Caenorhabditis elegans: one gene and its partner. The protein of the gene in region 2 interacts with the protein of the main gene of each other region in a biochemical or structural test. Each region holds a gene or a part of one and is shown on either strand. Other genes may lie near its edges.

Region 1 (2,860 bases), on a different chromosome or scaffold from region 2:
TTATTCATTATTTTTTAACTTATTAAAAAAAAAGAACAAAACCAGGAAACTTTAGAGCCATACAATTTAGTATATTTTTATAATATCAAAATGTTTTACTGTCCTCACAGAAAGTGTCATTAATGACGTCATCAATTGCCTATCTGAGTCAGATCCAGGTCCAAACAATTGTAGGTATTGTGACGTCACTATATCTTTGTTTCTAAGGAATTTGCAACCACGTGTATTCAAATACTCAACCAGGAAAACCTCTCTAAAATCATATTGTTCAACAAGGTCACATTCAATGACAACTTTGAATTTGGCGCCAATTTATTTGAATTTGGAATGACCTCGTCCAATTTTAATTAACATTTGTAAGACAGAAGAAAATAATTACGAATCGTTTTGTGAATCAACCAAATCCAAAAAGAAGTTTCTTCTTTGCAAACGATTTTCAATTTATAATAAAGTACGTGCAAAAACCATTGATAAAAATAATTTTTATTCATGTTCAATAGAGGATTTTAAATATTTGTGGCCCTAAAGAGGGCCGTTGGGTTCGGTAAAATGTTTTAAGAAGGCATCTATTCCTTGTCTCCTCCGGTTTTCTTCGGCAAAAGAACAGCTTGGATATTTGGAAGAACTCCTCCTTGGGCGATGGTTACTCCAGCCAACAGTTTGTTCAACTCCTCATCGTTACGGACGGCCAGTTGGAGATGTCTTGGGGCAATTCTGGTCTTCTTGTTATCACGGGCAGCGTTTCCAGCCAACTCGAGAACCTCAGCAGCGAGGTACTCAAGAACGGCAGCCAGGTAAACTGGGGCTCCGGCTCCAACACGTTGAGCGTAGTTTCCTTTACGGAGAATACGGTGAAGACGACCAACTGGGAATTGGAGTCCGGCTCTTGATGAGCGGGACTTGGCCTTTCCTCCGGTCTTGGCTTTGCCTCCCTTTCCGCGTCCAGACATGGTGATGATTGGTTGGTAGATGTAAAAACGATCTGAAGGAGACCATTAGACCACACTCTTTTAAACACAACTGCGGTGACTAGGCGGGCACATAGACACAAGGCAGGTGGAGGAGGTGGCAGAGTGACCGAGAAAAACTGTGCACTCTGCGTATTCGGCTGGGGAGACTACATAGAAATGTGTCCCCGCAGTATGTCCATAGGCTCCTCCTTCCCACCGATGAATTATTATAAAGGAAATGGCCATCAACCCATTCTTTACACTTGTCCAACGACCAGTCCAATCAATCGAAATGGCCCCACCAAAGCCGTCTGCTAAAGGAGCAAAGAAAGCCGCCAAGACCGTCACCAAGCCAAAGGACGGAAAGAAGAGACGTCATGCCCGTAAAGAATCCTACTCTGTGTACATCTACCGTGTACTCAAGCAGGTTCATCCAGACACTGGAGTCTCTTCCAAGGCTATGTCTATCATGAACTCTTTCGTCAACGACGTCTTCGAGCGTATCGCTGCTGAGGCATCTCGTCTTGCTCACTACAACAAGAGATCCACCATCTCTTCTCGCGAAATTCAAACTGCCGTCCGTTTGATTCTGCCAGGAGAGCTTGCCAAGCACGCCGTCTCTGAGGGAACCAAGGCTGTCACCAAGTACACCTCCAGCAAGTAAGCATTCAATTGCTGAAAGCAATCTAACCGAACCCAACGGCCCTCTTTAGGGCCACATTTTTAAAAATCCAATTTTTCTTCTGTTTTTAAACTGAAATAAAGTTTTTACGAATATGAGGATAGTTTTTAAAATTAATTTTTAATTTAATTTTTAATATTTTTTTGTTTTTAATAATGTTTGTTTATTTTTATTTTATGGAGATAATTTTAATATTAATTTGTTTCATAAAAACACCTAGTTTTTCAAAGAGTCGTAAAATTGCACCCTTGTGTGTGTTTTTACTCCAGAGAAAATTGACTAACAAAATTGGAATGATAATCTGAATGTAAATGTTTCATATAAAGTGGGTTTGACATATAACATGCAATCTTGAACGCGAATACTGTAACTGTTTGCCTAAAACCTTGTCTACTTGTGCGATGATCAAGCTTCCAGATTTTTATAACTATGGGGACGTAAAGAAGTGCAGTTGTTAGAATAAGAATATTTAAAAATATAAATACATTCTAAACTTTGCAGCATTGTACTTTTAAAATTCCGGAAACCTACTTCGTACATCACTGGAAATTCACAATCGCGATTCTGGATATTTCAAGTGATCCTATGTGTATTTAAAAACCCGTTCAAATTTTTGGGTTCGATCGAGCTATCAAAAATGGGACAGATTTGTTCTTTCGAGTTCTTTGATTTCTGAAAATTTCCTTAACTCTTCAAAATGTAATACAAACTTCTGAAAACACTGAGAAATTTCTGAAAATTTCTGAAAATAGAGAATCCTATATTAATGGAGCATTTTTGAAAGTTTGGAAACATTCAAGAATTTGCTAAAGTTAGCTAGGATCTTTAAAAGATCTTTAGAAATTTCTTCTGGTCAACTCTACAAATGTTTAGAACCATTGAGAATGTTCTGGAAAACTCGAAAAAGTTTGAACAAACCCAGAAATTTCAGGAGTATTTGAAGCCTATTAGTCACTTGGAAATCAATGGGAAAGTTGGAGAAATTTTTTCTAGAAACCCGGAAACGATTAGAAATCTGGAAAGTTTTGACAATTTCAAAAACTGCAGTTTTGAAAATTTTTGAGGCTCTTCTGAAAATTCTTTAAAGTTTCAAAAAAAAGGAAACTGGTTGAATTTTTCAAAAGCTTTTAGGAAATTTAAAAGATAATATTCTGCAACAAAAGCTAGGTGATTTTTTGAAAGACTTTCTTACTTTGTGCGTAAGGTACATACATATCTGATTAAGTTT
Region 2 (6,344 bases):
TTTGAATCAAACATCAAATAGGCCAACCAATGAAAAGGGACGGTAAAAATTCACTGCTTTATGAGCTAATATATTTTATCACCCCGTTTGTTTTGCGCACCGCGCCAAAGAATGAGTCGCACAATTTAATGATAGGCATTCAATTTTTGGCTACGTTTACAATACCGTATATCGCATACTTTTATGCAGATAATTTCATAAAGTAAAGCAAATCATTGAAATTCTCCATGCCATGTTGAAAATAGCTTTGAGCAAACTAGTAGGAGAAAGTAGGAAAACGTACTATGTTGCGAAAATAATTAATCTTAACTATTTTTATCTTGATTAGTTTGATCAAAAACGTATATGTTGTACACTAAAAGAAGCTACTTAGTTTCATATGTTAGACCAAAAAAGCGGTGTACTTTTTTCAATTTCACACACGTGTTGTTTCAAATTGTTTTATTTTTGATTCAAAAGAACCTAGCAAATTTCAGTTTTATTGTCTAATTAATGTTCAAAAGTAGATTTGTGAATGTATTGCAATGACAACATGACATATACATTAAATATTGGGCAGGCCACATCTTATTAGTCCCTTCACTCTTTCTTCTCACGAGCTTAGTTATTTACTCGACTGGAGCCAAATAGATTGCGTGTTCGGCCGTGTTGCGTTCTTTTCACACGTGGCTAGTCTCAATATATCTAACCAACAAGCAAGCAGAGAAGCAACGTCTCGTTCTTTATTTTTCCTCGAGCGCCGTTCCTCGTTTGATATTTATTTACGTGCGTGTGCACAACGCACAGCCATCTATAGCTAGTCAGTGTATGCCCCGTCAACAACAAAAACAAAACGAAAAAAAAACCACGCTATCTTTTCTACCTCCTCGTTTGACGTCGTTCGTCCATACTTCATTCATTGACATCGTGGGATGGGCAGTAAACAAAACTACTGTAAATGCTAGTTTACTATTTTGTTGTATTTTGTATTCTAGTTGTGTTTCTTTTCTAAAATTAACCCTAGACAAAAATGAAATGGCAGCTGGATTAACCAATAATACTGTGAATGCATAGATAATGCCAAAGTTCATGAAAAGGGCAGATATATGTACTTTAAGTTATGTAAAGATCCGGGAATGTCTACAAATGTGCACGTACTCTCTATTAATAGTTTGATGGGATTCTAAATTTGAGATTTAATCAAACTAAAATGTTTGCTTTTTCGATCTGCTTTTATCACTTCAACTCAAGCTTTAAAAAATTATTCAGAGCCTGGCAATGTTCTCACCTACGCATCGTGTTTCCTGCTTATCTCCTCATGATTAACTTGATTCAATAAATGGATTTGACCTGGTTTATACATGTGTATTTGAGTAAACTTAAACCCTTATTTTAGATTGGCACCTTTTCAGTTACATCTTAATTATCTACGTCATTATCATTGAAGTGCCTAACTAGAACTTCGGCTTTCTCACGTGCCTAATTAAATTCTTACAAATTTTTTGTCCGAACTGTTTTCTTTTTTTTTCAATAATCGCTTCTTGGATCTACCTACCCACCTATAAACTCATATTTACAGTTTGTTCCCCAGCATTTACCATCGTATGCAAGGGAAAAATTCACACTTGACTGGAATAACTGGAACTACACATTGTGAGTTACTTTGCATTTTTGCTATAGTGACCAGTTGGCGACCAAAAGTCGAACTGAAAAGATTAGTGCATTCATGCGAAAGTTCTACATAAGATTCAATTACATTAGTCATATTTTAATACGGATATGACTTTGATATTTAAAGATTAACAAGCAAGGTATCTAATTAATTAAGCACGAGTGCACGTTTCCGCAAATTTATACACCTAAAAACGCGGGCAGCATTCCTCTTTTCAATTTTTGCTACCTCATCTTATACTACTTATGTTTAGTTACTATTTTCGGAGCAAGCCCAAGAAGTATGTCATTGGTTAAAAACTCACAGGAAACTCCACCATTTCCCGGAATGAACTCCACCATGAGGCCAGTAGAATTCAACTCGACCAAGCAACCGGAAGCTCAGACTATTGATCAAGAGCAAGATGCTCCTAAAAGCTTTGATTTTAAAAATCAAACCCTTGGCGTGTATTCTGATACTGTGTTGAATCCACTCAAAAACGATAGTTTCAAGGATGAGCTGGTTGTAGATGTTCAGAAAAATCTTCCCATTGAATCGTTGACAGTATCTCCAAAGAGTTCTACTGACCAGAATTGCAGATCTACCAACGAGGCTATACGAATTGCAGGATTTGATAACTTTGCTGATCAGCTCCAAGAATCCAATGGCGTTTTCGAAGCATGCCCAGAGGCCCATTCAGAACAAGGAAATGAGAGTGAAGATTTTAAAGATTTGATCAATAGTGAAACTGAGTGCAACATTGAAGACGTTGTTCTCCCGACAGTACACGTTTCTACGGATTCTGAAGAAATCATTTCGGGCGATGTGATTATGAATGGTTAGTAGATTGTTTAAGTATAAAATATTTTTTTCATTCTTTGATGTAACTATGATTTTGATAGCTTTTGAAAAATTGAAACAAAATACATAGTTAAACTAATTTGGAAACATTCTAATACTTACTGGGAACATTTACAGACAGCAATGTAGTTTCAAAACCAAAAAATTTGGAAAAAGTCGAAACGCCTGATGTTCTCATTGGCAGTGGTTCAAACGACAAGCTCTCTGATATGACTGAACAAATTGGCAACAATCAGCATCTTGAAAAACTGATCTCGGAGAAAACTGAGAAATCACTCAGTGACAATGGTGAGAGCAACAGTTACCAGTTATTAATTTCTGAACGATAATATTTTTTTCAGAAACGACGTTGAAACCTGTGCCTGTGCAGCATACCAACAGTGTCGGAAGTTCGATTGGGACAACTTCTGGAGATTCAGAAATTTCTGACGATGACCAAAAATCATGGAGTCCTAAAAACGAATCGCTTGATTATCAACCTGCTTCTACTTCAAGCGAATTTACAGAAACAACCTCTGTGGCTAATCAAACGGAATCTAATGCAGGAAGTGTAGATGATTATTGCCCCCGCACGTCGATTGACATTGGATTGGACTCTTCCGCTCCTTCATGCTCTTCTGATGCAACAAGGGAGCCTACACCAATAAAAAAGCGTGGTCGAAAGAAGAAGGAACAATCTGCAACCGAACCCCCTATACCCAGGACGAAAAGAGCATATACTAAAAACCCAAATACGGTAAATTTCATAACTAATCTATTCTCAGTTTAATGCATAATTTACAGATCCGAAAACGCCGCATGAAAAAGAACCAATCTGACGATGAGGAAGATGATGGACCACCAAAAAGACGGACGATTAATTATCAAATTGAATTTCGTGATGCTTCTGGGGCTTGGACTATGGCTCAGCAGTTGATATTTGTTCGTGACTTCATGTCTAAAAAGAATGATAAAATAGTAAAACTGTCGAAATCAAGGCAAGACAGAGTTGACAAATTCATTCTTCAATTTCAAGTCAGTCCGCATTGAAAATTATTGTTAAAAAACCAAAAACTAATATTTCAGAAAACCCAAGATTCTCACTACATGCGTGCTGCCATTCAGCTGAATACAATTTTCCCGGATCAAGGAAACTATCGACATTGTCAGGATTATTTGAAAGATCTTACCATTCGTGTAGTAGTACCGCCAAAGCGAAGAGAAGGAAAACGAAAAAGTGAAGTTCCTGCCAATCCACCAGCCCTTTTGCTAACTGGACCATTATATCTCAACTTCTATTGTACATCACAAGAAGTCCTCGAAGCGGCAGGTCAATTACTCGAATTTCATGTCAACGCCGTTTACAAAGATGAACGACTACAGCCTCCGGTTGCCGATAAGACACTTTTGGATCTGGAAAGAGCGATGTATCACGAGCAAGTCAAAGATCTTACTGACTATCACAAATACCGCATACCATGTCCAACTCTCACAGTCACCACCAAAGAAGAAGTATTCTCGTCGGATTTTGAGCGCATTTTGAACTCAGCGAGCATCACCAACATTAGCGGAATCGCAAAGGCTCTGAACATCAAGACTGAACTGTTTTCACTGCCAGAAATTGCAAAGTGTCATCCTGAATTATCCATTGATATTCTTAACCAAGTACCACAAAGTGCCGATGGAAACTGTGATAGTAAAGGAATTCGTTGTTGGGATGTTACATCGTACTCTTCTAAGATGAAGCTGCAAGATTTCGAGAGGTACATGCAGAAGGAGGAGTCTGAAGCAATGCAAGGTAATATTGACTTTTGAACATAAGATTTTTAATCTTTGTTTTTAAGCTTTCGAAACGATTTCAAACTGCACAGCAAAAGAATTAGAGAGCACATGCCAGAAATTGAAAGCTGAGAGAATTGCAGCTCAAAACGCAATTGAGGGCTGTGATGAAACAATGCCTTGGATCAAGTTTGGAACAAATATCGACTTGCTTTCCGAAAATTTCAAGAAGCAGATGAATGTTAGTGATATTCTACATTTTTCAAAATAATTTATCTAATTCTCTATGTTCTTACAGGAAATCGAAAAGCTGCCGACGTTCCTGCTACCAAACCGTGAAGGAAACTTGCTCAACTACGCAGGAGTAGACGTTCTCGGCATCAATACTGTACAGATGTACGCGAAACCAATCGGATCACGCACTCCAGCACACATGGAAAACTCACTCATGGCTAGCATCAACTGGAACCGCGGTCCGGGAACGTGCGTCTGGTTTGCTGTGCCGTACGAGTATTGGGGGCAGCTGGAGTTTATGATTGGAGAGCACGGGCACAAGTACCAGGATCAAGACTATTGGCCAAGCGAAAAGGAATTACTGGAGCTGGGAGTTCCTGTAATTAAATTCGAGCAAAAAGCTGACGAGATGGTATATGTCAATACTGGATGTTTCCATTGGGTGCAGAGCAATAGCTTCTGCATCAATGTATCTTGGAATGTCGGACAGCCAAACTTCACTCAGCTGGCTACCTCAATAGTGGCTCACGATCACAATATGCTCATTGGGAACCAGGCGCATGTTCCATTGGTAAATCTCGTTTGGAATGCTGCACGTCAGAGGCTTTTCGTCGACGATCCCGAGATGTATAAAGCCATGCGCGGTGTCATGATCAGGTTAGTACATATGATAATAAAAATTTGCTATTTTCTAAACAATGCTCAATCTAATTTCAGATCACTTGCCCATTCAAAGTGGTACTTTGATCTTATTGATCATCATGACTACATTGTTGGAGACGCTAGCGAATGGAAGCTTGCTGATCGCGTTCAACGATGTAAATACTGTACATCTGAAATCTTCAACATTGTCAGATGGTACACCACAGAGGACTTATCAGTAGATTCGTACCCCTTCTGCTCTCATTGTCATGTAGCGTGAGTTTTATTCAGGATCAATGAATCATCAATGAACAGTGTGTTTTACAGAAACGAATACAAAAAGGACAGGTTCCTCAAGTACACATGGTTCTTTTCATTAGAAACATTGGTTAATATTTTTGATGCCTACGTTCCTAATTAAATATTTATCCAACAATGGTGCCTTCTAATATGTTTTCTAGGATTTTTCCTCAAATTTTAACGTTCTTTTATGATGTTCTATTAGTTTTTTACAGCGTTTAAATGCTGTTTTTCTGTATTTTTTTTCAATTTTCATTTTTAGCATTTGTTTTCCCGAAATCAACTTTCAAAATTTCCAACTCAAGCCTTTCTATCTCAATTACATCCCTAATTTCTTTCGAAGAAAAACGTACCTCGCCCCTTAATTATGATTCTTTCCATCAAATGGTCCCTGACTTCTCACGTTTATCCATCACACTCCTCGCTCTCGCTATCTCTGCAATTATCGGTGTATTTTATCAAAGAATGTTATTCAAAGAATGTTAAAAATATTGAAAATTAAATCATTTACTATATATAAAGCGCGTGTCCTTCTGTCCCTATGTAGTTTGATCTTTGATCTTTGGTCTTTGAACTCTGTAGTTTGTAGTCTCAATCACCTAAGAGGGGTCCTATAGCCCCGCCCCTTTTGTGACGTCATCACAAATTGGCGGGAAATTCAAATTTTCTGAGAAATCATTTTGGCGGGAATTTAAAATTTTAATTTTTTGAAAATATTTTGGCGGGAATTCAAAATTTAATTTTTCGAAAACATTTTGGCGGGAATTTAAATTTTAATTTTTTGAAAATATTTTGGCGGGAATTTAAAAGTTTAATTTTTTGAAAATATTTTGGCGGGAATTCAAAATTTAATTTTTCGAAAACATTTTGGCGGGAATTTAAAATTTTAATTTTTTGAAAATATTTTGGCGAAAATTCA

The links.
Region 1: of the proteins of jmjd-3.1 (region 2) and his-3, one has a biochemical effect on the other in vitro, tested with the Caenorhabditis elegans proteins (one study listed by BioGRID).

What each region holds. Positions count from the first base shown.
Region 1 is NC_003283.11:16,038,898-16,041,757, reverse strand, and holds his-3 (Histone H2A), read right to left. Parts: upstream 951-2,860; coding exon 567-950; downstream 1-566. Other genes in the region: his-4 (Histone H2B 2), read left to right, coding at 1,243-1,614. UniProt on the Caenorhabditis elegans protein: Core component of nucleosome. Nucleosomes wrap and compact DNA into chromatin, limiting DNA accessibility to the cellular machineries which require DNA as a template.
Region 2 is NC_003284.9:8,569,491-8,575,834, forward strand, and holds jmjd-3.1 (Lysine-specific demethylase jmjd-3.1), read left to right. Parts: upstream 1-1,558; 5' UTR 1,559-1,583; coding exon 1,584-1,632; intron 1,633-1,904; coding exon 1,905-2,468; intron 2,469-2,608; coding exon 2,609-2,779; intron 2,780-2,832; coding exon 2,833-3,227; intron 3,228-3,274; coding exon 3,275-3,505; intron 3,506-3,556; coding exon 3,557-4,268; intron 4,269-4,314; coding exon 4,315-4,490; intron 4,491-4,547; coding exon 4,548-5,140; intron 5,141-5,200; coding exon 5,201-5,401; intron 5,402-5,452; coding exon 5,453-5,546; downstream 5,547-6,344. UniProt on the Caenorhabditis elegans protein: Histone demethylase that specifically demethylates trimethylated 'Lys-27' of histone H3, a mark associated with transcriptional repression, thereby playing a central role in the histone code.